Diceros bicornis minor: one gene and its partners. The protein of the gene in region 2 interacts with the protein of the main gene of each other region in a biochemical or structural test. Links are inferred from orthologs where the notes say so. Each region holds a gene or a part of one and is shown on either strand. Other genes may lie near its edges.

What was found.
Region 1: the proteins of ADRB2 (region 2) and GRK2 form a complex in vitro, tested with the Homo sapiens proteins (2 studies listed by BioGRID, with this or other methods). The link is inferred for Diceros bicornis minor from reciprocal best matches to the Homo sapiens genes ADRB2 and GRK2.
Region 3: the proteins of ADRB2 (region 2) and GRK6 form a complex in vitro, tested with the Homo sapiens proteins (2 studies listed by BioGRID, with this or other methods). The link is inferred for Diceros bicornis minor from reciprocal best matches to the Homo sapiens genes ADRB2 and GRK6.

What each region holds. Positions count from the first base shown.
Region 1 is NC_080770.1:6,236,455-6,243,610, forward strand, and holds the start of GRK2 (beta-adrenergic receptor kinase 1), read right to left. Parts: upstream 3,005-7,156; 5' UTR 2,800-3,004; coding exon 2,687-2,799; intron 1-2,686. UniProt on the Homo sapiens protein: Specifically phosphorylates the agonist-occupied form of the beta-adrenergic and closely related receptors, probably inducing a desensitization of them. Key regulator of LPAR1 signaling.
Region 2 is NC_080740.1:66,047,581-66,055,052, forward strand, and holds the start of ADRB2 (beta-2 adrenergic receptor), read left to right. Parts: upstream 1-4,404; 5' UTR 4,405-4,630; coding exon 4,631-5,887; 3' UTR 5,888-7,472. UniProt on the Homo sapiens protein: Beta-adrenergic receptors mediate the catecholamine-induced activation of adenylate cyclase through the action of G proteins. The beta-2-adrenergic receptor binds epinephrine with an approximately 30-fold greater affinity than it does norepinephrine.
Region 3 is NC_080740.1:90,637,884-90,645,864, reverse strand, and holds the start of GRK6 (G protein-coupled receptor kinase 6), read right to left. Parts: upstream 3,078-7,981; 5' UTR 2,985-3,077; coding exon 2,933-2,984; intron 1-2,932.

The DNA of each region.
Region 1 (7,156 bases), on a different chromosome or scaffold from region 2:
CCAGAGGAGGGAGGCCAGCTGGCACATTCCACAAAACATGGAGGGGGTGAGAGCAGAGGTGCAGAGGCGTGTGTGGAGAAAACGAAGCACAGCAGTGAGAGAGCCCCTGGGGGTGCAGAGACCCGCGTTCAAATTCTAGCTTGTCTCTGTGACCAAGTGTGTCCCCCCCCCCCCGCCTTTCTGAGCCTCAGTTGCTTCAACTATTAAATGGGAGCATACCACTTGCTGTGCCTGCTGCCCACAGCTGTGAAAAGGATAAAATGGAGTAAAAAGCAAACTGGGACGTGCCAGGCAAACACAAGATACAGTCATGATGACCTCCCAGGGCAGGAGGCACCTGACCCACTGGGTGTGCAAAGCATAAAGCAAAGGGTGACGTGTCCTCCAACGCAGGAGACCTGGACTCCCAGGGCCAGCCCCGGCCTGCTGCACAGAGTGGCTCTGGCCCTTCCCTGTCCTTAGCCCACTGTCAGTCACTGCTAGAGCCTCTGGTCCACCTCACAGATGGGGGCAATCTGCCCAAGGTCGTGCTGCCAGATGGTGACCCTATATGAGAACCCATGACACCTGGCTCCCGTCTCCTGCTGTTCCCCTAAAACTCGCAGTCCACCTGGCTTCTGACACCACACAGTCCCGATAGTTCTTGAGCAACTACTACACGCAAGGCACAGCCTTGCCAACTTCACAGGTTGAGTTTTGGATCAACTGAGATGACAGATGTCAAAATAAATAATAAATTATAATTTCCACCATCACTCCTGTCGCCACCATCACTACCACGGATGGTAAAGGGGACAGGAAAAGAGGAACGCCTCGTTTCTCAGGGTTCTAACACCTGCATGGCCAACCCAAGGCGGGGCCCCATCAGGAGCAATGCATTCTGGGGAGAGATTACCCAAAGGCAGAGAGTTCCAGAAAAGGCCCCGCCTCACACTTTGCAGAACTCCAACCGGCAGGAGGGTCTCAAGGCCGCGGCCACCAAGGAGAGCCGTTGAGAACCCCAAAGGTTGACTTCCCCCATTTCCTCCCTCGTGGCTTTGTCATTTCTGAACTCATTTTTGTTCTAACTGTTGCCGCTCCCTGGACAGCCCCCAGCTAACAGTCAGTCTGGTTCCTGTTTTGAGAAATCTGACTGCAAATGTCTTAGAAAAAAAGGGCTCTAACGACCTTTTCAAAATGCAGACCCATTTTCCTCTCCCAGGCCTGGTGTGCAGTCAACCCGAAACCCAGCAAGAACAAGGCATGGACGGGGGAACCGGAGACATCAGCATGGCACCCCCTGCAGCCTCGGGCCCTGCTTCAAAGACTCAGAACGCCGCACAGTCTCAGCCATTATTTCACACCATCCACATTTCACAGATGAGAAAACCGAGGCCCAGAAACGGGAAGGGACTTGCCCAAAGTCACATGATAAGACCATGACACCTAGCACAGGCCCAGGCTCCCGGGCCAGCCAGGCACCAGCATGCCAACTCTCAGGCAGGTATGGAGGTCGTGCTGGGACTGGCCTGGCCACATGACATGAGGACTCGTGGTGGGCACACGGCTCTCGTAGATGCAGAACGGCCAGGCCCCGGCTCACGCCAGAGTGGTGGACACAATATGGAACTAGAAGCCGGAAGCCCTGATCTGGGGGCCAGGCACCACTCTGGATTACCTGTGACACTGGGCAGGCTTCAGCTTCTCCACCTGTGCCATGGGGACAAAACCACACCTGTCCTACCTCCTCATGGGCTGCTGTCAGGCTCAAACAACGAGCAAATACTCTAGAAGCCATAAAACGCTGGACAAGCCTCAGCTATCGTCCGTATCCTGTGTACTTCTGATACTACATCCTGAACAGTTTCAACTTTGATACCAGGTGTGATGACATCAGATGTCTCATGGAGAGGGGGCAGCCTTGGTCCAGCTGCTGCAGGGTTCTGGGATGTTCCCCTGCAAACAGCACCCACAGGGCACCACAGGCAGGGCCCACCAGAGGGGGAATGCGAGGGGAGAGGGACAGGGGGCGTCTCTCCCACTGGGATGGGGCACACACCACACCCTGCTCCTCACCACCACCCTGGCCCCCAAAGCACTCTCAAACCCCACTCCAAGCCAGCGACCGACCAGAAGGGTGCAGAAGACCCCGGAAGACTTGTCTCCCCCAGATCTCACACAAGTGTTGACCAGAGGGGGCTAGGGGTAGGGGTAGTGGAACCCCAAGGGGGGTGCCCAGAATAGAGGCAGTAAAAGGATGGGCAATAGAGTCAGGCCAGGTAGATGGTGGCAGCCGGAGGAGGGGACCCCACGGGGAGCACGGGCTGCCCGGAGGAGGATGAAGGGAGGCATGGGGCCCCTGTGGGAGAAGGGAGGAGCAGGGGCCGACAGAGATGAGGGCCAGCTAGAGTGGAGGAAGGGACAGGGGGGTAGAGCGGGGCGGGGGGTACGGAGCGCTCGAGGAGCCAGCGGGGCAGGAAAGCCCCGGCGTTGGGGCGCCCGGGTTCAGGTGCACGGGGCCTGGGGCTGCGGGGTCGGCTCGGGGCTGCGGGTCCCGGGGCGGTGGACGGGCTGAGAGGTCCCGGGCTCGCGCCTGGGGGGTCTGGGGCTGAGGGCTGGGGGTCGGGCGCCGGCTCGGGGGGCCGGGCAGGGCGCCCGCGGGCGCAGGCGCGGGCGCGGGCCGGGGCCGGCGCCGGCGCCGCCTCACCTGGGCTCGGGCAGCAGGATCTTCTTGCTGGCGCGCGCGGCCGGCGTGGCCTTGCTCTTCTCCATGGCCATCAGGTAGCTCACGTCGGCCAGCACCGCCTCCAGGTCCGCCATCTTGGCGGCGGCGGCGGCCTCTCCCGCCGCTCGGCTCGGCTCCGCTCCGCTCGGCTCGGCGCGCTCGGCCCGGCCCGGCCGCTCCGTCGGCCTCGGGCGCCGCCGCCCGCCCGGCCCCGCTCGGCGCCCGCGGCTCCGCTCGCCGCGGCTCACAGGCGGCGCCGCCCCATGGCGCCGGCTCGGGCCCGGCCCCGGCTCGCTCCGCTCCCGCCGGGACTGCAGTCGGGCCGCCGCCGCCGCCGCCGCCGCCACCGCCGCCCCGGAGCCGCCGCCGCCTCCGGCCCCGCCTGCCGCGCACAGCGCCAGCGAACCCGCGAGGGCCGGGAGGGCGGGCGGGCGGCGGCGCCCCCTGGAGGCCGTGCGGCGGACCGAGCCTGACCCCGTGGCCGCCCGGACCCCAACTCAGACCCGACCCCTCCCCGGGCCTGGGCCGTGACCCTGACCCCAGACCTGGAACACGACAGGGACCCGGCACCGAAGGAGGCCCTAGACCCAGACCTTGACCGCAACTCGGATCCCAGCTCGGATCCCAGACTCCAGGATAGACCACGGCCCTGACCCCAGACTGGCACTTCAGAACATGATCCCAGGGACTTGGGTCTCAGACCCTGGCTTTAACCCCTGACTCCCTGACCTTGGACGCAGTCCACCACGTGACATAAGACCTGGATAACATTCCTGACCCCAGACTCCAAACAGGACCCTAGACCCAAACCTTGGACCACCACCTCAGACTCTGACCACAACCTTGGATCACAACCTGGGGTCCCCAACTCCACAGCCAGACCCTGACACGGACCCCAGACCCCCAACAGGACCCCAGATCCAGATTTTAGACCATGACCTCAAACACTGATCCCAGCCACAGACCATGACCTGGATCCCATCCTGGTTACTGACCCCAACCTTGATTCCAACCCCAGGTCCAGACCACTACCGTGACCCTAAACCCTGGACTTGGGGGCAGGGCCCAGATCCAGACTTGAACTGTCAACCCTAGACCAGGGTCCTAGACCCAACACCAAGAACTCTGGACGGGGACCCAGGACCAGGACATCCAATCAGGACCCAGACTGGACCTAGAACCCTTAACAGGTGGCCATGAACCTGGGACATGACAACTCCAGACTTAGCCCAGTCAGTTCTTACCCCTCCTGCTCCAGACCCAACCCTGACCCCAGGACTCCCACTCGGGACCAAACAACCTGAACCAACCCCTACCCTCCCTGGACTGGCTTGTAGACCCAGGTCCTGGCCTGCACCCCAGGCCATCCATGGCATTATGATGGAATCATCATGATTCCACAAGACGGGCTCAAACCTCTCTTAGCCTGGGAGGGCACAGGGGTCTCAGTGCTGCCTGGTAAGGGAAACATCCTCTGCTGAGAGCCCACAGTAGGGGGATCCATGTGTCTCAAAGCAGCACCCCCTATCTCAACATGCCCCTCTCTAGAGCCTCTCTCTGCTTTCCAAGGTGACAAGATCCCCTCCCAGTCCCGGGCATATGGAGCCCAAGCCTCATGACAGTTTGTGGGCCAGTAACCAGGACCCTTTTGCAAAGCAGGGACCCCCCTCCCTGTACACCTCTCAGGCTACCTTCTGAGATCAGCGTTGGCAGAGTCTGGAACCAGAGCACATCAGAGATGGCAAGGTCCCCTTCTCAGTGGGCGACACCACCATCCACCCAGATACCCAAGCCAGATCTCCGGGCATCATCCTTGACTCCTCTCTCTCCCCCTGCCCTAATCTATCACCATACCCTCTTGTCTGGCCTCCTGAGAACCTGTCTTCTTGAACCTGTCTGCTTCTCAGCATCCCCATGGCTGCTGCCCTGATACAGGCCCTGACCAGAGATGCCGCTCCCACATCTAGATCTCATGGAGTTACTGCCTGCTTAGCACCAAGAAGCAGTGTTCGAGGCCTTCTGGAGCTGCTGAGCATGGGGGACACCCCCACTCTGCCCAAAGCAGATCAGGTGAACAAGTTCCTTAACCTGCAAGTCAGGGTCTTGGATGCCTGGGCCCTGCTCCCCTTTCCAGCTTGTGTCGCCACCATCCTCTGCACCTAGGGTCCCCCTACCAGCCCACCCACCAGTTCTTACCTCTGTGCCATTGCCCTTCCCTGTGCCTGGAAGCCCTCTGTGTGCCCTCTTCCTGGCTAACTCCTGCTCATCCTTTAAGACCCACCTCCTCCAGGTAGCCTTCCCCAACACCCTGACCCCCATTGTGTGCATCTCCAATTCTACACTTACCACCTATTTCCTTGATTTGAAAACATCATCAACTGCAAGATGCATCATTTCCAGTTTAGACACTGGGTGTGTGTGAAGCTTTATAACATGTTTGCATGGATTGGAAAATGCACCCTGATGTCAGAAATGCTAATGTGTGCCAAAAAAAAAAAAAAGTATTTACCATCTCCCACTGTAACTGATGCTCCCAGTTCATCTCTTTGCCCCCAGTTCCCACCATGGGACCTGACACAGAAAGGCATAGTCAATGTTTGATGAATGAATGACTGACTGAGTGAATGAGCTCCTCAGCCCAAGGTGGCACGTGGAGTTTGGGGCAGAACAGGGCCAGAGGCACATGAGGATGCCACAACAGGAGGCCTCTCACCTTCCCTCCTGCCCCGCCCTGACTCTTCAACTCTTTGGGACTCTGATTACAGCCACACGCTGACCTGGGTTTTCTGGAGCAGCTCCTATTTTAAAAATTCTGCCTGATGAACTTGTCAAACCAGAATCCCCGTTGGTTCTGAAATGCCAGCCATCCTGCTCCAGAAGGTGGCCCTACCTTCCCCCCACCGCCTGAAAACCCACACTGCCTCTCCCACCCACAGCCCAACCTGCAGCCCTGGTGAGCCTGAAGCCTGGGGACTTTGGAAAGAGCCAGTGTCCAGGGCACCCCTCATTGATTCCTGGGATCCTGGAAAGCCACTCCTGAAGCCCTGGGCTGGGAAGAGGTTGGTGCCAGTCCATGGCCTGGGGAGGCTGGTTTTTTTGGATGGTGCTGCCCTCTGGTGGTTGAAGGAAGGTCAACTGTAAACTTGTCTTTTCAGGCTGGCTTCAGTCATTCCTTGTCTCAGCAAACCTTTGTCATTGCCCAGACTGTGCCAGCCTCCGGCTGGGATGTTGGGAGTGAAAGAGGGGTGGAACCCCATCTCTGCCCAGCTGGCAGACCCACATACACATCAGTACCTGGCATCTCCCCTGGATGACTAATAGGTGTTGCAAACTTAACGCGTCCCACACTGAGCTCTTGCTCCCACCACCCAGCCGCTGTCCAACCCGCTGCTCTCCCGCCTCCCCATCTCAGTCGTGGCTCCTCCACCTTCCAAAAGCCTAGGAGTCATCCTTGATTCCTGTCTTCCCTCACCTGCCCTGCCTCACACATACACATGCTCTCATCCAGCCTGTCTTGTCGACTCCCTGGTGTGTCTGTCTCCAAAGTTTACTCCGAATCCTTCCACTGTGCCCTGCTAAACCCGATCCGAATCCCATCACTTCCCGCCTGGTGCTGATGCCTGCACCAGCCTCCTCTCAGGGCTCCCCGCCTCTCCTCTAGTCAGAGTTTTTACAGGCCTAAATCAAACCCCACCTCCGATGGCTGCCCCTGCACTTAGGATAAAACCCAGCCCCCTTTCTGTGGCCTGTAAGACCCGCACAGTCTGGCTCCTGCCTACCTCTCTAACTCAACTTCATGCCCGGGCCCCTTAGTCTCCAGTCTCTCTGGTCTTCCTTCTGTCACTATAACAAGCTAAGTTCATTTCCACCTCTGGGGTCCTGACTTCATAATTCCCCTTGTCTGGAATGTCCTTCCCCTCCTTTCCGGCAAGGTGGGCTCCTGCTCACCCTGCATCTCGTGGGCTGAAAGGTTCCTGCTCAAGGGCTCTCCCTTGGCGCCCCTGTTTGTCATGGTCACTACTGCATCCCTCACAACCAGCATGGCACTCAGCACTAGGTTAGGGCTGCAAAGAGAAACAGGATTCAGCGGTGGCCCAGTCCAGTGGGGAAGAAGACCCCTAAACATATACCTCCAATTAACCCGGCAAGAGCTATGATTTGAGGAGGTGGAGCACTCAGGAGAAGGTCAGGGGAAGGGTTGGGGAAAGGTCATAGAGGGCAGAGGAGGAATGGGGAAGGTCTTGAACTTGACATTGTGTGCATGTGAATGTGAGTGAGGACTGGCACGTGCCAAGGCCCAGGAGTGCACCGCAGCCCCTCACGTCTCCATCTCCATCGTCCTGGGCTTTGAAGATCCAGGAGGATGAGCTTGGGGGCTTCCCTGACCCCAGGAGGGGTGTCCAGATTGATCGGGAGAAACTCCTGCCTAACACAGACAGACACCTCTCTGAC
Region 2 (7,472 bases):
TCAGGAGAACTTGAAGGGATTCTCCCAAAAGCTTAAGGACAGTCTTGGGGAAGAGGAGCTTTGCTTTGAGTGGCCTCAAGGGGGCAGACTTAAGATGCTTGGGTAGACACTTTAAGAACATGGATTTCAGTTCAATATCTGGATAGTTGGAGAAATATACACTGAAAAATGGAGCTGGCGAGCTTGCCTTCACTAAACATGGCTGTATAAGAGTTTTGGTGGCTGCATTGTGTAAGGAGCTGACTAGACTGTGAGATGTTTCATTCAGAACCACTAATATCCCATGCAGGAACATAACTCAATGATAATGGTAATATTCAGAATCATTCTTCTTTCTAAAGAACCAAGTTTTATTCCTTTTTTTCCTGTCAATTCAAATTAAAAATAAATTACTCATCATCCATGTTCAAAGTGTCCTTTCATACATGTGATCTAAGATAAATATGCATTCTACATATACATTTTGATTCAAAAATAAGATAACAAAAGTAATAGCTAACTTTAGGGGCCGGCCCGGTGGCGCAAGTGGTTAAGTGCGCGCGCTCCGCTGCGGCGGCCCGGGGTTCGCTGGTTCGGATCCCGGGCGCGCACCGACGCACTGCTTGGTAAGCCATGCTGTGGCGGCGTCCCATATAAAGTGGAGGAAGATAGGCACCGATGTTAGCCCAGGGCCGTCTTCCTCAGCAAAAAAAGAGGAGGATTGGCGGATGTTAGCTCAGGGCTGATCTCCTCACAAATAAAAAAAAAAAAAAAAAAAAAAAAGTAATAGCTAACTTTTCTCCAAGATAGCCTGTTAAGCACTTTACGTGCAATTAATCTTATTTAATGTTAATTTAACGAGATGATGCTGTACAGAGATAATATTAAAGACAGACATTTAAGACCATCATTTAGAAAGAAATCTACGGATGTTTCTCTGCTCAGAGGGTCATAAAGATGAAAGGAATCTTGTCTAAGCCAAGACCAGGATAAGATTTTCCTAAGCCACACAGCTACTGGTGCGAAGGCATCTCGTGGCACCACAGAGCCCTTAGTCCTATTCAAACATTGGTTCAGTAAATCAAAATGTGTTTTTTTTCCTGCTTGGCAGGCAGGAAACAACGAATCAGTGTCTTAACAGATTGACAAAATACGTAATTAGACACTATCAATCACCATAAAAGAGCCTGCTTTTTCTTACATCAGATAAAGGTGCATTTAGTCTACTAAGGACTTTCCAGTTTCATGAAGCATGAACTCCCTAAGGCCACAAATACAGTAAGCAGTGCTAGTCAAAGTCCTCTGCTAGGGAAAGAAACGAAAGAGTGGGCAGTGAAAACACGTGAGCCCAGGAGCAGACTTGGCTCCTAATTTTCCCTGCCCTCCTTGGACTGGATACTCGCTTCTACCCTTTAGTTTCCTCATTTGCAAACCGGAGGGAGAGGAATAAACTGAACGATCTACTATACTCTTTCCCGTTCTAGTTCTCTCTAATCCTATAGTTCTAAAAGGAGGTCAGGAGAAGACTCCTGGCGTGAAGACAGCATCTTGAAATTCCTACCAGCTTCATGATGCAGCAGAGATAGAGAGAGCTTGTCCATTTGGCAAGGCTGGTGAGCAGAGGCCTAGAACTTCCTCATTGACATAAGCAGTCTTCCCTTCTTGATTTAGTGTTTGTGTGTTTCTTAAAAGGTGTTTCCCCAAATATTAAAAGTTAAACTTTTGGGGCCGGCCAGGTGGCTCAAGCGGTTAGGTGTGTGCGCTCCGCTGCGGCCCGCGGTTTGCCGGTTCGGATCCCGGGCGCACACCGAGGCACCGCTTGTAGAGCCACGCTGTGGTGACGTCCCATATAAAGTAGAGGAAGATGGGTACGGATATTAGCTCAGGGCAAATCTTCCTCAGCAAAAAGAGGAGATTGGCATCAGATGTTAGCTCAGTGCTGATCTTCCTCACAAAAAAAAAAAAAAAGTTAAACTTTTAAGTGACTTACGTGCATACCTAAATGATCAATTAGTGTTTGTCCTAAAAGCATTTTCGTTCTTTTTCTTGTTATGGGAAGGTTAAACAATATGCTTGTTTATCCCATAGCTTCACAAACAGGAAGGAGGTTTTAAATGGCTCAGTTCCACGATTTGGGGTAGATGTATATTTAAAGAAACGTGTTGCATAACAGACACTCCTTCCTCCTAAAATGCATCATACCAGAGCCAATTTTGGAAAACACAAATATGGGGTAGTTATATTTTGAAAACTATGTGAACATAATAGAACCTTAATTAATATTTGTGGCTTTCTATGGGAAATATTTGTTTTGTAAGGCATCTGCCTTGCGAAAACAGTTTCTGCTAGTGAAGGAAGTTAAAAGGTGCATGTACGGTTAAATTTTGTTTCTGAGTTTTACTTCTAGAGTAACTGCCCAAGTTACTTCTGTCCTTTATTGTCCTGGTAGAGAAGACTAACAGCATATTCTAAACTACTAAGTAATTTACATAAAGTTCATTTATAACCCATATTTATGTCTCATTTATATGTGCCAAAGCACTTCTACATTTATTATTATATCATTTGATTCTCACTCAGCCTAATGGAAATGACTTTATTCCCCCTTTAGAGATGAATGAAATTAGGCCCCATCTTTGTCATTTGCCTAAGGAAAGTGAGCTAGAAAGTTCCGAGACAGGGGGATCTGCATCCTGGGTACTCCAATTCCAGTTGGAGTTCTTCCCAGTCCTCCATTCCTTTTTGTATATGATGATGCGGTACACTGAACAAATGAAAAGATGGGTTTTAGAGTCAGGTAGATCTGGGTTCACCTCCTGCCTCTGACCCTGTGCCCCTAGGCAAGATTTTTCCTCTTTGAGCTCCATTTGTGAATTAGGCTAAAAATAGTATCCCCTCTACCATGGGACAGTGGGAAGGATTAAATGGAACAATGCAGGAAGAGCACACAGCAGAATGTTCCATAAATGTTAACCATTGTTATGTTATTATGCAATCTACAAAGTATGTTTGGTTACACCACACGAATTACTTTCAGTTTTTCAAAGACACTACTAATACATGTGAAATCAAACCCTGAAAATTAATTTCTTTTTAACAGTGAAGTCATATGCCAGATGCCAAGGATAGTATTTCACCGGCAAAGATCCTAGTTTTAAGGCTTGGTCTGACTTTTGTTTTTTAAGGAGAAATTATCTTTTGCTTTCTGTGGTTTCCAAACAGTCGTAATGGCAACACATTCTTCATAGTCTGAGCCATATGAAAGTGACATTTTTTAAGTCAGAAACTGCCGATATGGCTCAACCAACAGATCAACAAACTACCCAGCAGATGAAAGGATTTTCCTACTTACAATGGGATTGCTGAAGTTGAGGTTGAAAGGAAAATTCTTCCATTTTCAATACATTTTCATTCCAACAGATAATGAGGGAATGATGCCACACTCACAAGAATTAAAAATTAAAGCATACAACTTTCTTTCTCTCGTCCAAAACACATACATGCACACCCAGCTCCAAATGAAATCCAAAGTGTGAAATTGTATGTCTCAATGCTTGCAAATTCCCAAGGAGGGCACCAAAAGTGCTTGATAGAGAGTGTGCTGAGGAAATCGGCAGCTGTTGAAGTCACCTCCTGTGGTCTTGCCAAATGTTTGAAAGGGTATATGCTGTGTGTCCGTATGTGTGGTGGAAGGGGGTGGGGAGGAGGTCGGGGGTGCAGGGGTGAGGGGTTTGGAGTACCTGGATGGGGACGTCCGTGTCGGTGGCGCTGTGCATGCCTCCAGAAGGAGCGTTTGTGTGTTGTTTACTTCTTTTTGTGTGTGAGCCCATGCCTTTGTGCTTCTGGGTGCCCCTGTGCTTGTTTCTGGCCGCGTATCTGTGTTGACAGGGGTGACTGTCGGTTTCTGTGCGCCCGCGCTCGTGTGCTCGTCGGTGCGCTGGACGGGTGTGTCTCAGCGTCGGTGGCTGTGGCTCCGTATAAGTCTGAGCATGTCTGTCGGGGTGCGTGTGTGCCTGTCCGTGCATGTCTCAGTGGGCACTCTGGTCTCTGTTTCCGAATGCGGGGGAGTGCCCGCGTGCTGCCCTCTGCTCTCAGACCTCGGGCCGCACAGGCCCCCACTGCAGACAGGTAGCAGCCACAGAAGAGCCAAAAGCTCTCGGGTTGGCTCGTAAGCGGGCCAGTTCGAGCTTCAGCCCTCCGGGACCAGCCAGGGTAGCCGGGAGGGAGTGGTGGCCCGCCCGTCCGCTGGGGAGCAGCCGAGCCCCGCCCGGGCCAGCGCCAGGAGTGGGTGGGAGAGGGAGGGGAGGGAAGGGGCGGAGGCCTCGCCCCTTTGGGGCTGCCGGCGCGCCATTGGCGGAAAGTTCCCGCACGTCACGGGGAGGGCAGCTCCCCTAAAGCCCTGTGCACATAACGGGCAGCGCACACTCCTAGGCGGCTTCTCCAGAGCGCAGGCTGAGACTGACAGGCACCGCGAGCCCAGAGCACCCCACAAGCTGAGTGCAGGACGCGCCGCAACCACACCCACCCCACGGCCGCTGAATGAGGCTTCTGGGCGTCAGCTCGCTGCCGGCAGCGCCCCGCCGGAGGTCCGCCCGCTGAGGCGCGGCCGGTGCGCTGGCAGCCAGTGCGCTCACCTGCCAGCCTGCGCGCCATGGGGCAACTCGGGAACGGCAGCGTCTTCTTGTTGACGCCCAACGGAAGCCACGCGCCGGACCAAGATGTCACGCAGGAACGGGACGAGGCGTGGCTGGTGGGCATGGCCATCGTCATGTCCCTTATCGTCCTGGCCATCGTGTTTGGAAACGTGCTGGTTATCACAGCCATCGCCAAGTTCGAGCGTCTGCAGACGGTCACCAACTACTTCATCATTTCCCTGGCCTGTGCTGACCTGGTCATGGGCCTGGCGGTGGTGCCTTTTGGGGCCAGCCATATCCTCATGAAAATGTGGACTTTTGGCAACTTCTGGTGCGAGTTTTGGACTTCCATTGATGTCTTGTGCGTCACGGCCAGCATTGAGACCCTGTGCGTGATCGCAGTGGATCGCTACGTTGCCATCACCTCACCCTTCAAGTACCAGAGCCTGCTGACCAAGAATAAGGCCCGAGTGGTCGTTTTGATGGTGTGGATTGTGTCAGGCCTTACCTCCTTCTTACCCATCCAGATGCACTGGTACCGGGCCACCCACAAGGAAGCCATCAACTGCTATGCCAAGGAGACTTGCTGTGACTTCTTCACGAACCAAGCCTATGCCATTGCCTCCTCCATCGTGTCCTTCTACTTGCCCCTGGTGGTCATGGTCTTTGTCTACTCCAGGGTCTTCCAGGTGGCCAAAAGACAGCTCCAGAAGATCGACAAATCTGAGGGCCGCTTCCATGCCCAAAACCTCAGCCAAGTGGAACAGGATGGGCGGAGCGGGCATGGACTTCGAAGGACCTCCAAGTTCTGCTTAAAGGAACACAAAGCACTCAAAACTTTAGGCATCATCATGGGCACTTTCACCCTGTGCTGGCTGCCCTTCTTCATCGTGAACATCGTGCATGTGATCCAGGATAACCTCATCCCTAAGGAAATTTACATCCTCCTAAACTGGGTGGGCTATGTCAACTCCGCCTTCAATCCCCTGATCTACTGCCGGAGCCCGGATTTCAGGATTGCCTTCCAGGAGCTTCTGTGCCTGCGCAGGTCTTCTGTGAAGGCCTATGGGAATGGCTACTCCAGCAACAGTGACGGCAGAAGTGACTATGCAGGGGAACAGAGTGGAGATCAGCTGGGTCAGGAGAGAGACAGCGAACTGCTGTTTGAGGACAACCCAGGCACAGAAGACTTTGTGAACCGTCAAGGTACTGTGGCTAACGATAGCGTTGATTCACAAGGGATGAATTGTAGTACCAATGACTCAGTGCTGTAATGCGGTTTTTCTACCTTTTAAGACCCCCCCTAACAAAACACTAAGCAGACTATTTAACTTGAGTGTAATAAATTTAGAATAAAGTTGTATAGAGATGTGCAGGAGGAAGGACATCCTTCTGCCTTTTTTTTTATTTTTTTAAGCTGTAAAAAAGAGAAAACATATTTGAGTGAGTATTTGTTTCTTGTACAGTTCAGTTCCTCTTTGCATGGAACTTGTAAGTTTATGTCTGAAGGGCTTCAGTCCCAGAGAACCTGGGGCTGCTATGTTGTGATGACTTTTCTGCATATCTACCTCATTGGTCAAGTATTAGGCGTAATATATTGCTGCTGGTAATTTGTATCTGAAGGAGTCTTTCCTTCCTGCACCCTTGGACTGGAGGATCTTGAGTATCTCGGACCTTTCAGCTGTGAACAAGGACTCTCCCCGCTCCTCTGATTTGCTCAAACAGGGTGTCATAGGCAGGGATTTGAGGGGCAGCTTCACTTGTTTTCCGGAGCAAAGTCTAAAGTTTACGGTAAATAAATTGTTTGACCATGACTTCATTGCACCTGTTTCTCCAAAACCCCTTGACTGGAGTGTGGTTCCTCCCCCACTGGAAACCGCAGGTAACTATTTGTAATAACTGCCCAGTGACTTAATATGGAATAACACAGGAATGACAAGCACTGATTGCTTAACCCTTTCATTTGCCTTTGAATCTGCAAACCTGTATCTCTCCTAACGCTAGGGCCCCAAATCAGTTCTGCCTGCCCCCAGCATAGCTTGTCTCACTTGTCCTACGGTTATTATTCTGTGTTGTCACATCAGAAACACTGACTCATAGAAATGGAGTTATGGACATCTGTTTTGTCCCTCCATGAACCCCACCACCCACCTTCCAGCTCTACTTGTTGGATAGCTGCTTATATTTATGTCTTTGCCATGTCTTAGAGTGGAGATCTTTGTACTACCTCAGGCTTTGGCATTTTAAGGATAAGGAAGAAGTTATTGTGAAAAAGCTACTCAAACAGAGCCCTGTAATTCCAAGGGAGAGTGAAAGGGCATTGGTCATACAGCGAAAGCTGGAAAATACTTAACTGAGGAATATCTCATGACCTAGAAACAGCATTATAAGCCCTCCTCCTTCTTTCCTTCTGTCCATTTCTTCCCTCTCCTTTTGACACTCCTCACTTCAGTATAAACCAATTTCTCAACCTTGGCACTATTAACATTTGGACCAGGTGATTCTCTGTGATGGGGGCTGTTTTGTGCATTGTCTGATGTTCAGCAGCATCCCTGGCCTCTACCCATTAGATGCCAGTAGCACCCTCTGAGTTGTGCCGACCAAAAATGTCTCCAGACATTACATTACCAAACACCTCTTGAGGGGTGAAATTGCCCCTGGTTGAGAACCACAGATATAAAGTTCAAAAATCTAAACAGATTTTTAGATCCTGTCTCATGTGACCATTTTATTTTGCAGAGCCTAAGAGAGGGATTTTTCAGGGTTCCTCTGGTTAGTGACAGATCCTGGGCCAATGCTCTCCCCGCTCCCTTATGCTGTCTTCCAAACTTACTTCCCAGCTGCCCGGATACTGATTGT
Region 3 (7,981 bases), about 25 Mb from region 2:
CAGCACAACTTCAGCTGATTGCTTGATTGTTGCTAGGCAGGAATGCAGGCTCAGTGTGGCCAGATCTTCTGATTTTTCAAAAGCAGCTGGTTATCTGGACTGTTACATGAAATATTGCTTCCCATTTTTTTTAAAACCCACTGCAGCCAAATAAATAAAACATGTTAGAGAGCTAGAAAGATGTGGCCTGTGGGCCAGAAGGTTGAGAACAGTGGCAGGGGCCTGAGTCTTAGTCTCATAGACCTGGGTTTGAATCTCCAATTCACACTTTAGGCCCATCACTTGCCCTCTGTGAAACTCAATTTCTCCATGTGTACTTTGGGTCCAAAGCCACCTCCGGAGGTAGTGGGTGACTGGGAGAGTCTGTGTCCAGCACTCAGTAGGGCTGTGGCAAAGTGGGCCCCCGCTCCAACAACTCAGTGGGAACCTCAGGGAATCACTTTCCTTTGCCCAGCCTCAGTTTCCCCTCTGGTTTTAGCCAGCCTGAAGGCAGGTGGTGCAGGAGGAGGGGCCTTCTTCTAGGGAGCAGGCAGGGCTGGGTCCCTCAAAAGGCTCCCTGACCTAAGCTGCCTGGAGGAGGAAGTATCACAAGGCACCCATTGGGAAACTTGCTAGCAGCCCTCCTGCAGCCTGCACCCAGCACAGCCCCCCATCATTGCTCCACTGTGAGTGAGCAACAGACCCTCCACCCCCAACCCGGGCAAGGCCTCCCCAGAAGGGGAACTCCTCCCTCACCCCCGCAGGTCCCTCACCCAACCCTCCATCCGCCTGCCTCCCCCCACCAGTTACTTCCTCCTCCCCCTCCTCCCAGCCACAACAAGGCAGCAGCAAAGAGTCACATGCAAATATCCTGTCCTAGAACTGCCACCAGAGTCAGTGGGGCTCCTCCGCACCCTAGGTTGGCCCCCTCCCTGTGCCTCTGGGCACCTGGGAAAGGAAGGATGAGCAAGGGCTCACACCCCCAGTGCTGTCCCACTTCACCCTCCCAGCAACTCTCCCAATTTCATGAGAAAACTGAGGCCCTGAAAGGAAGAATCAGTTTGTCCAAGATCCAAAGTCTGGAGGTGCCAGAGGCAAGATTCGAACCCAGCTCCCTGGGACCAATACCCAATCTCCTTCCCCACCCCAAACATGCCGGGCATCTATTAGATGTCAACTGAATACATACACCAAAGGTTCCCAAACCACTTAGGGCCTCAGATCACTTGGGAAGCTGGCAAAAGCCTGGCCCCGAGCTGTCAGCCAGTTCACGGAGGGATTCCGACATAGCCAGTCCAGGGGCCAGGGTTTGGGACTTGGTGACAACTGGGATTTCCTTTAGTTTTCATGTCCTGTCCCCAACCACTCCACAAAAAGGGTTACTGAGGTTCAGAGAGAAGAGACTTGTCTAGAGCCACGCAGGTGGAAAGGGCAGAGACAGGTCGGGGCAAGGGCTCATCCAGTGGAGGCACAGTCCTCAGTCCGACCATACCCTGCTACGCCTCACTCAGCGCCTGAGGAAGCCTGTCTGAAGGTGCCCACACTCCTTGGCCAGGCAAGGCAGTGCCGGAGGCCTGAACTGGCTACAGCCCTAGGGAGGGAGGCCTGGCCAGGCTCTCCCCACCCCTCCTCCCTGGCTGGCTGGATGACGAGGCAGAATAGAATCGACAGACGCCCCCAGAGGCTGAGAGGAAGGCCCAGCCCCGGGACTCGATAAGGGACAGGAGATAAGTCAGGCTCTGGGCACTAAGGACCCAGTCTGCCATGCCCATTTCCAGGCAGCACCTCCCTGAGGTCAACATGCACTGGGCAGGCAGGGGGCACCCAATGCTGTGCCAGCTGGGGGCTCCTCTGGGCTTCCTACAGACTGTGTTGGGGGCATCCTGCGCCCCAGGCCTGAGTCAACCACAGTGTGGCTGTGTGACCTAGGGACTAGTCCCTGGTCTGAGCCTCAGTTTCCCACCTGTAAAATGGAGCAGAAAGGTGAAGCAGTGACTCTTTCAGCCTGGAGGGCCAGCAAAGAATGGAAAAACTGTCATGACCTCCCTGCCCTACAGTTCCAAAAAGGGTCTTGTTCAATGCTGGGACTCCAGCACCCTGGACAGGACAGGGCAGAGAGTGGGTTCTGGGTTATTCTGTTATTGAGGTGGACAATGGCAGATGAAGGGCAAACTGACCACAAGGCAGCGAGGACCAGGTCTGGTCCTTCCATGTCCCCCATGACTATCATAGAGCAGGTGCCTGGTAACATCTGGGCTGGGAGCCATGAGGAGCCCAGCACACACTCAGTTCACCAGACCGGCTCCCTCTGCATGCCCAGCACGCTCTCTTACTTCAAAGCTCAGCTGCCACTTATTTCTCTACCCGTCTGCCCCACTAGATTGTGGGCTTCCTGAGAGCAAAAATTGTTACCCAGTCACCTCTGTCCCCAGTGTCCTGAGGCACCCAGCAACTGCAGTTGTACTGATAGCATATGTGACCAGCAGTTTCCCCAAGTCGGGTGGGCTCTGTTACGGCGGAGGCTCCGTTCGTTCATTCATTCTGCAGCCTTTACTCTGGACCAACTTGGTGCCAGTTCGGGCTGGACCCGGGGGTCTAGGCCCGGGGCACGTGGGGCAGGCTGCCCCTTCCTGGGGCATCTTCTCGAACCTCTCATCTGGGAGACGCCTCGGAGAGGCTCTCCCGGGGCTCAGGTCCCACCCTTCCCTCTTCCTTCCTCTCTCCTTCCCTCACCCCTCACCCCCCCGCCGCGAGGGCGGCGGCCTGACCCCCGCCCCTTCCTGGGCCCCCGCAGGTGCGGAGGAGGAGGACGACCAGCCGGAAGGGCTCGCGTCCGCGCGGGGTGGGGGGCGCGCTGCCCGAGGGGTTCGGACGGCCGGGGCGCCCCGCCAAAGTCGGAGGCCGCGCGCCCGCGTTTCCCGCACCCGGCCGCCCGGCAGCCCGGCAGCCTCACCTTCCCGGGCCTTGAGTAGCACCGTGTTTGCTACGATGTTCTCGAGCTCCATGGGCTGCGGCGCCGCCGGGCCCGCCGGGCCGCGCCGCCGGCGGGATCGCGCGCGGGAGCCGGGGCCGGATGGCGATCGGCGCGGCTCGGCTCGGCTCGGCTCGCAGTGACCGCGCCGCGGCCTCCCGGGCCTCCCCGGCCGCCGCCGCCCGCCGCGCACTCTCCGCCCCCTCCCGGGGGCCACCCCGGCGCCGGCCCGCCCCGCCCCGCCCTCTGTTTACTTTACTCGGCCAATAACCCAGCGGGCGCTCCCCGCGCCGTCTTCCCATTAGACAGCCTCTTCATCTTCCCCCGCCCCCCGAGCCAGGGATTCGCTCAAAGGAGAAGGGGGGCGGGACTTAATACGTCACCGCTTCCTGGTTGGTCTGCGGTGGGGTTTAGCCCCTAGGTTCGAATTTCTGGGCCTTCATAGGATACCGAACTGCCAATTAGGGCCGAGCCCTCCGCTGGGACACCAGAGGTGGGTCCTCTGGGTCACGCCCCGGAGGCCGGAAGTTTGATTGGATTTTGGAAGCGTCAGTCATTCTCAGCAGTGCACTCTGATTGGGCCATCAGATGGGGTGTGGCCCGGGTCCCTTGAGCTCGCCTTGGCTTTTGTAGGGTTTGTAGAGACACACTTGGCATCCTGGGCCTCCTGCGGGCCTGCTGCGAGCTTGTTTGGGCCATGTGTCCGGCCGTATTCCTTTGGGTCGGCCCATACTGGAGGGCACACGTCGGAAGCGGGGAGAGGCCCGGAGGAGGCTGACGGCCTCCCCCGCGGCTCTCCGGCCTCTGGCCTGGGCGCAGCAGGCACCCTCGCCCCGCCCCCGCAGCCGGATGTTGTGATTTCTCTCCACCCACACGGCCTTGGCCGCCCTCGGCTTCTGCTGCCTTATAAGGCAGCGCTACCACCCCGAGACGTTGGGATGAGGTCACACCCATTATACAGGTGGGGAACTGAGGCGCCAGAGGTCCAGTGGCTGGCTCCAGGCCGAAGACTAGGGAGAAAACAGGCCGAAATTTTACAGCTAATTAACAGCTTCTAGCTCAGCATCCTACTCTCTCCACCCCCACTTCACACACCAGGAAAGGAGGCTTGCCCAAACTCAGCGAGTAAGGCAGAGTTGGATTCAACTAGGCTTCTCTGATCTCTATCCATTCATTCATCCAAAAATACAGAGCACCTGCTTTCTGCCAGGCACCAAGCCAAGTGCTGGGGAATACAGTGGTGTCAGCAAGACAGCCAAGCTCCCTGCTCACATGCTAGAGGGGACTAAAGGTGATAATCCTGTAAATACACAAATAAATAGGATAGTCTCCAAGAGTGATAAGTGCTATTAAGACAAAATACAGAGTGAGGAGAAATGGTCTCAGAGTGCGGCATTTGAGCAGATCCAGCCACACAAAGACCTAGGGGAACAGTTCCAAGCTGAGGCAACAGCGGGTGCAAAGGCTCTGAGCCTAGAGTAAGTTTGGTGTGTTCAAGGAACAGGAAGAAGGCCTGTGTAACTTCAGAGCCCAGTGGTCTGAGATGAGATGAAGGAGCAAGGATCCCAGCTAGATCGTGGAAGGCTTTGTAGACCATAGCAAGGAGTTTGTTTTTCTTAAGTGAAATGTGAAGCCTTTGAAAGAATAATTTAGATTTAAAAAGATCACTCTAGCTAGTGGACTTTTAGGGGGCCAAGACTGGAAGCAGAGAGAGTAGTTGGGAGGCTACAGAATTCCAGGACAGAGAGGATGGTGGCTTGGACCAAGAGAGTGGCAGTGGAGATGAAGAAAAGTGCATGCATCTAGGACGCATATGGGAGTAAAGATAAGTACCTTGAAAGAGGAGAACCCAGTGGCCAGTGGGACAAAAGGCAGGCACCTCACCCAGTGAAGGCTGCTGTGTCGAGTGAGACCTGAGGGGTGGGGGAGAAGATGCAGGTTTCAGAGATAACTGGAGCAGGGGGAAAGAGACTTCTGGACAGAGGGCCAGCACATACTCAAAGCTCCGTAGAGGAAGGTGGTAAGGGCTCCTGCACCGGGGGCAGAGCCTTGGACCAGTTTCAGGTACACATTGGGGTGGGCACGGGAGGCAAAAAATGAGGCTGAGGCCTTAGGAGTGGCCTGGATCAGGAAGGTCTTTGGAAGCCGGGTAAGGAGTTTGGACTTCATTTTGAGGATAGTGGGGAGCTGTCAAGGGTTTTTTAAGTCAGGGAGTAGTGTGATCAGATTTGCTTACACAGAGGGCTCTGAGCCACACTGTGGAAGATGTGCTAGGGATGGGGTCAAAGGTCAGGAGTGAAGGGCTTAGGCTGACCTGTAGACACCTGTTGTTTTGGTGTTCAGCATCTGAACACCCCTTTCTTTTGGGAGGAAACCTATGAAATGCAGAGACAGCCCCTGCCTTCCACTAGGGAAGTCAGAGGGGAGGCAGAATTTCCTCTCCAAGGTCCCTGGTAGCTGGAGCATGTTTCCAATGATTCCAATCAGCTCTATGAATCCAAAGCAAGTGATTAACATAAGACATCAGACGGACCATTTAGGATTCATTATGGAGGCAGTGGAAGGGGAGGTGGATGTGGTCAAGCCAGGCTCTTCCTGGGTAGGGGGATTCAGCAAGCACCCAGGAGCTGTCCAATCAGTTCCTTGTCTGCCTAAGTCACCCAGAGTGGCTTCGTTGTTTGCAGCCAAATATCCTGAGTAAGACAAGTGGAAGACCTTTCAAGAGGAGCCATTCGAGAGAGGAATGACAGTGCCCTGTGCTGGGGCAGTGGCCAGGGGATGTAGACAAGTGGCCAGATTGAGAGGTCTCATGGAGCTGGGGTGAACAGGACATGGCAATTGATATGAGGTGAGGAGGGAAAGGTGTCATGCACAGCTGTCAGATGCTGACTCTTCAACCCATTCTCGCCGTACAGCCAAGTGATCCTTTTTAAAAGGGAAACCTGCCACCAACTCTCTGAGATATGCATTTCTAGAAACTTATGCTACAAATATAATTGCACTCAAGCAAAATAAGAAATGAATGTTCAAGTTTCTTCATTGCAGCATTGTCCGAAAAGATGAAACGTACTAATTGTCTTTATAGGGACTAGTTAAGTAAAATTTAGTCCTTTTCTATACAGGAATACTATGTAGCTGTTTTAAAAACGTGTGGGAGTGCTCTTTATGTACTGATATAAACAATCCTCAAGATGTATTGTTAAATGAAAAAGCAAAGTGCAGAACAGTGTGTCAGGTTCGCTACCATTTGTGTAAAAGGGTCAGGATAGGCTAGGTTATGCTCTAGTAACACACAATCCCCAAATTTCAGTGACTTAAAACAACCAAAGTGTATTTCTCAGATACACGGCAAGTCCAACACACGTTGTTGGGCGGTGGGGAGGCTCCACACAGGGCGGTCAATCAGGGACTCAAGATGAGGGGGCTCCATCTCAATTTGTGCTTCTACAATGGCAGACAGTAAAAAGAAATGTGGTGAATCACAATGGCCTTTAAAGCTTGCACCCGAAAGTGACACAAGTCACTTCTGCTCACATTTCATTGGTCAAGGCAAACCACATGGTCACGACTAACTCAAAAGGGGTGGGGAGGTACAGCACTGCTGTGGCAGATGGTATTTTCCAAAGATGAGTGTCACAATAAGCTCTCATCCCACGGGCACTTCTTCAGTGTGACCTTGACACCCCCACATCAACAAATGGGCTCTCATTTCCCTGTCCTTGACTCTGGTCTGGCCTTACTGACTCTCAGCATCAGTAGAATCTGGTGGAAGTGATGCACGTGAGGTCTGAGGCTAGGTCAGGAAAGTCATGCAGCCTTGTTTTCTCGTAATGCCTATTCTCCAGAAGCTTCTCCTGGGATGTTCCCTCAGAATCAGCGGCCGTGCTGTGTGAAGCCCACACTGAATGGAAAAGCCACGTGTAGGTGCTCTGCTCTGCTCAACAGTCCCTGCTGAGCTCAGCCTTCCAGTTGTCCCACCCGAGCACCAGACATTTGAGTGAGGAAGCCTCCAGGTGATTCCAGCTCCTAGCCATTGGAATCAGCCCCAGCCATTCAAGTATCCCCAGCTGCGACCCCTGGCACTGTGGTACAGAGACATGCCATTCCTGCTGTGTCCTGCCTGAATTCCTGACCTGCAAAACCCATGAGCATAATAAGATGGTTGCTGTTGGGGCTGGCCCCATGGTGTAGTGGTTAAGATCGGTGTGCTCCACTTTGGCAGCCCAGGTTTGCGGGTTTGGATCCCAGGTGCGGACCTACACCACTTGTCAGCAATGCTGTGGCGGCGACCCACATACAAAATAGAGGAAGATTGGCACAAATGTTAGCTCAGAGCTAATCTTCCTCAGGCAAGAAAAAAGAGAAAGATCGGCAACAGGTGTTAGCTCTGGGCGAAGCTTCCTCACCAAAAAAAAAAAAAAAAGTTGTTGTTTTATGCCCCTAAATTAGGAGTGGTTTGTTACGCAGAGATAGATTCCTGGAATAACTACTATATGCCTGGAAGGAGAATAGAATTGGAAATAATATTTGGTGAACAACACTAACTACTATAGACGAATTTGCTTCTACATGCATGGCCCGCCTCTGGAAGGCCACAGGAGGCACAGAACACTGGTTGCTTCTGGGAAGGGGGAGTTAAAAGGCCGGGGACAGGTGTGGGAGGGGAGGCTTTTCATCATAAACCCTTTTGGACTTTTAATCTTGCATCCTGTGAAGATATTGCTTATTTTAAAAATAATCATGGGCCAGCCCAGTGGCATAGTTAAGTTCACGTGCTCCACTTCTGTGGCCCAGGGTTCGCAGGTTTGGATCCCAGGCGCAGACCTACACACCACTCATCAAGCCATGCTGTGACGGCGTCTCACATACAAAATAGAGGAAGATGGGCACAGATGTTCGCTCAGGGCCAATCTTCCCCAGCAAATAATAATAATAATAATAATAATAATAATAAAATTAAAAAATAAAAATAATCAGCCTGATCCCATCACTCTCCTGCTCAGAACCCTCCAGTGGCTTCCTGGGGTGGAG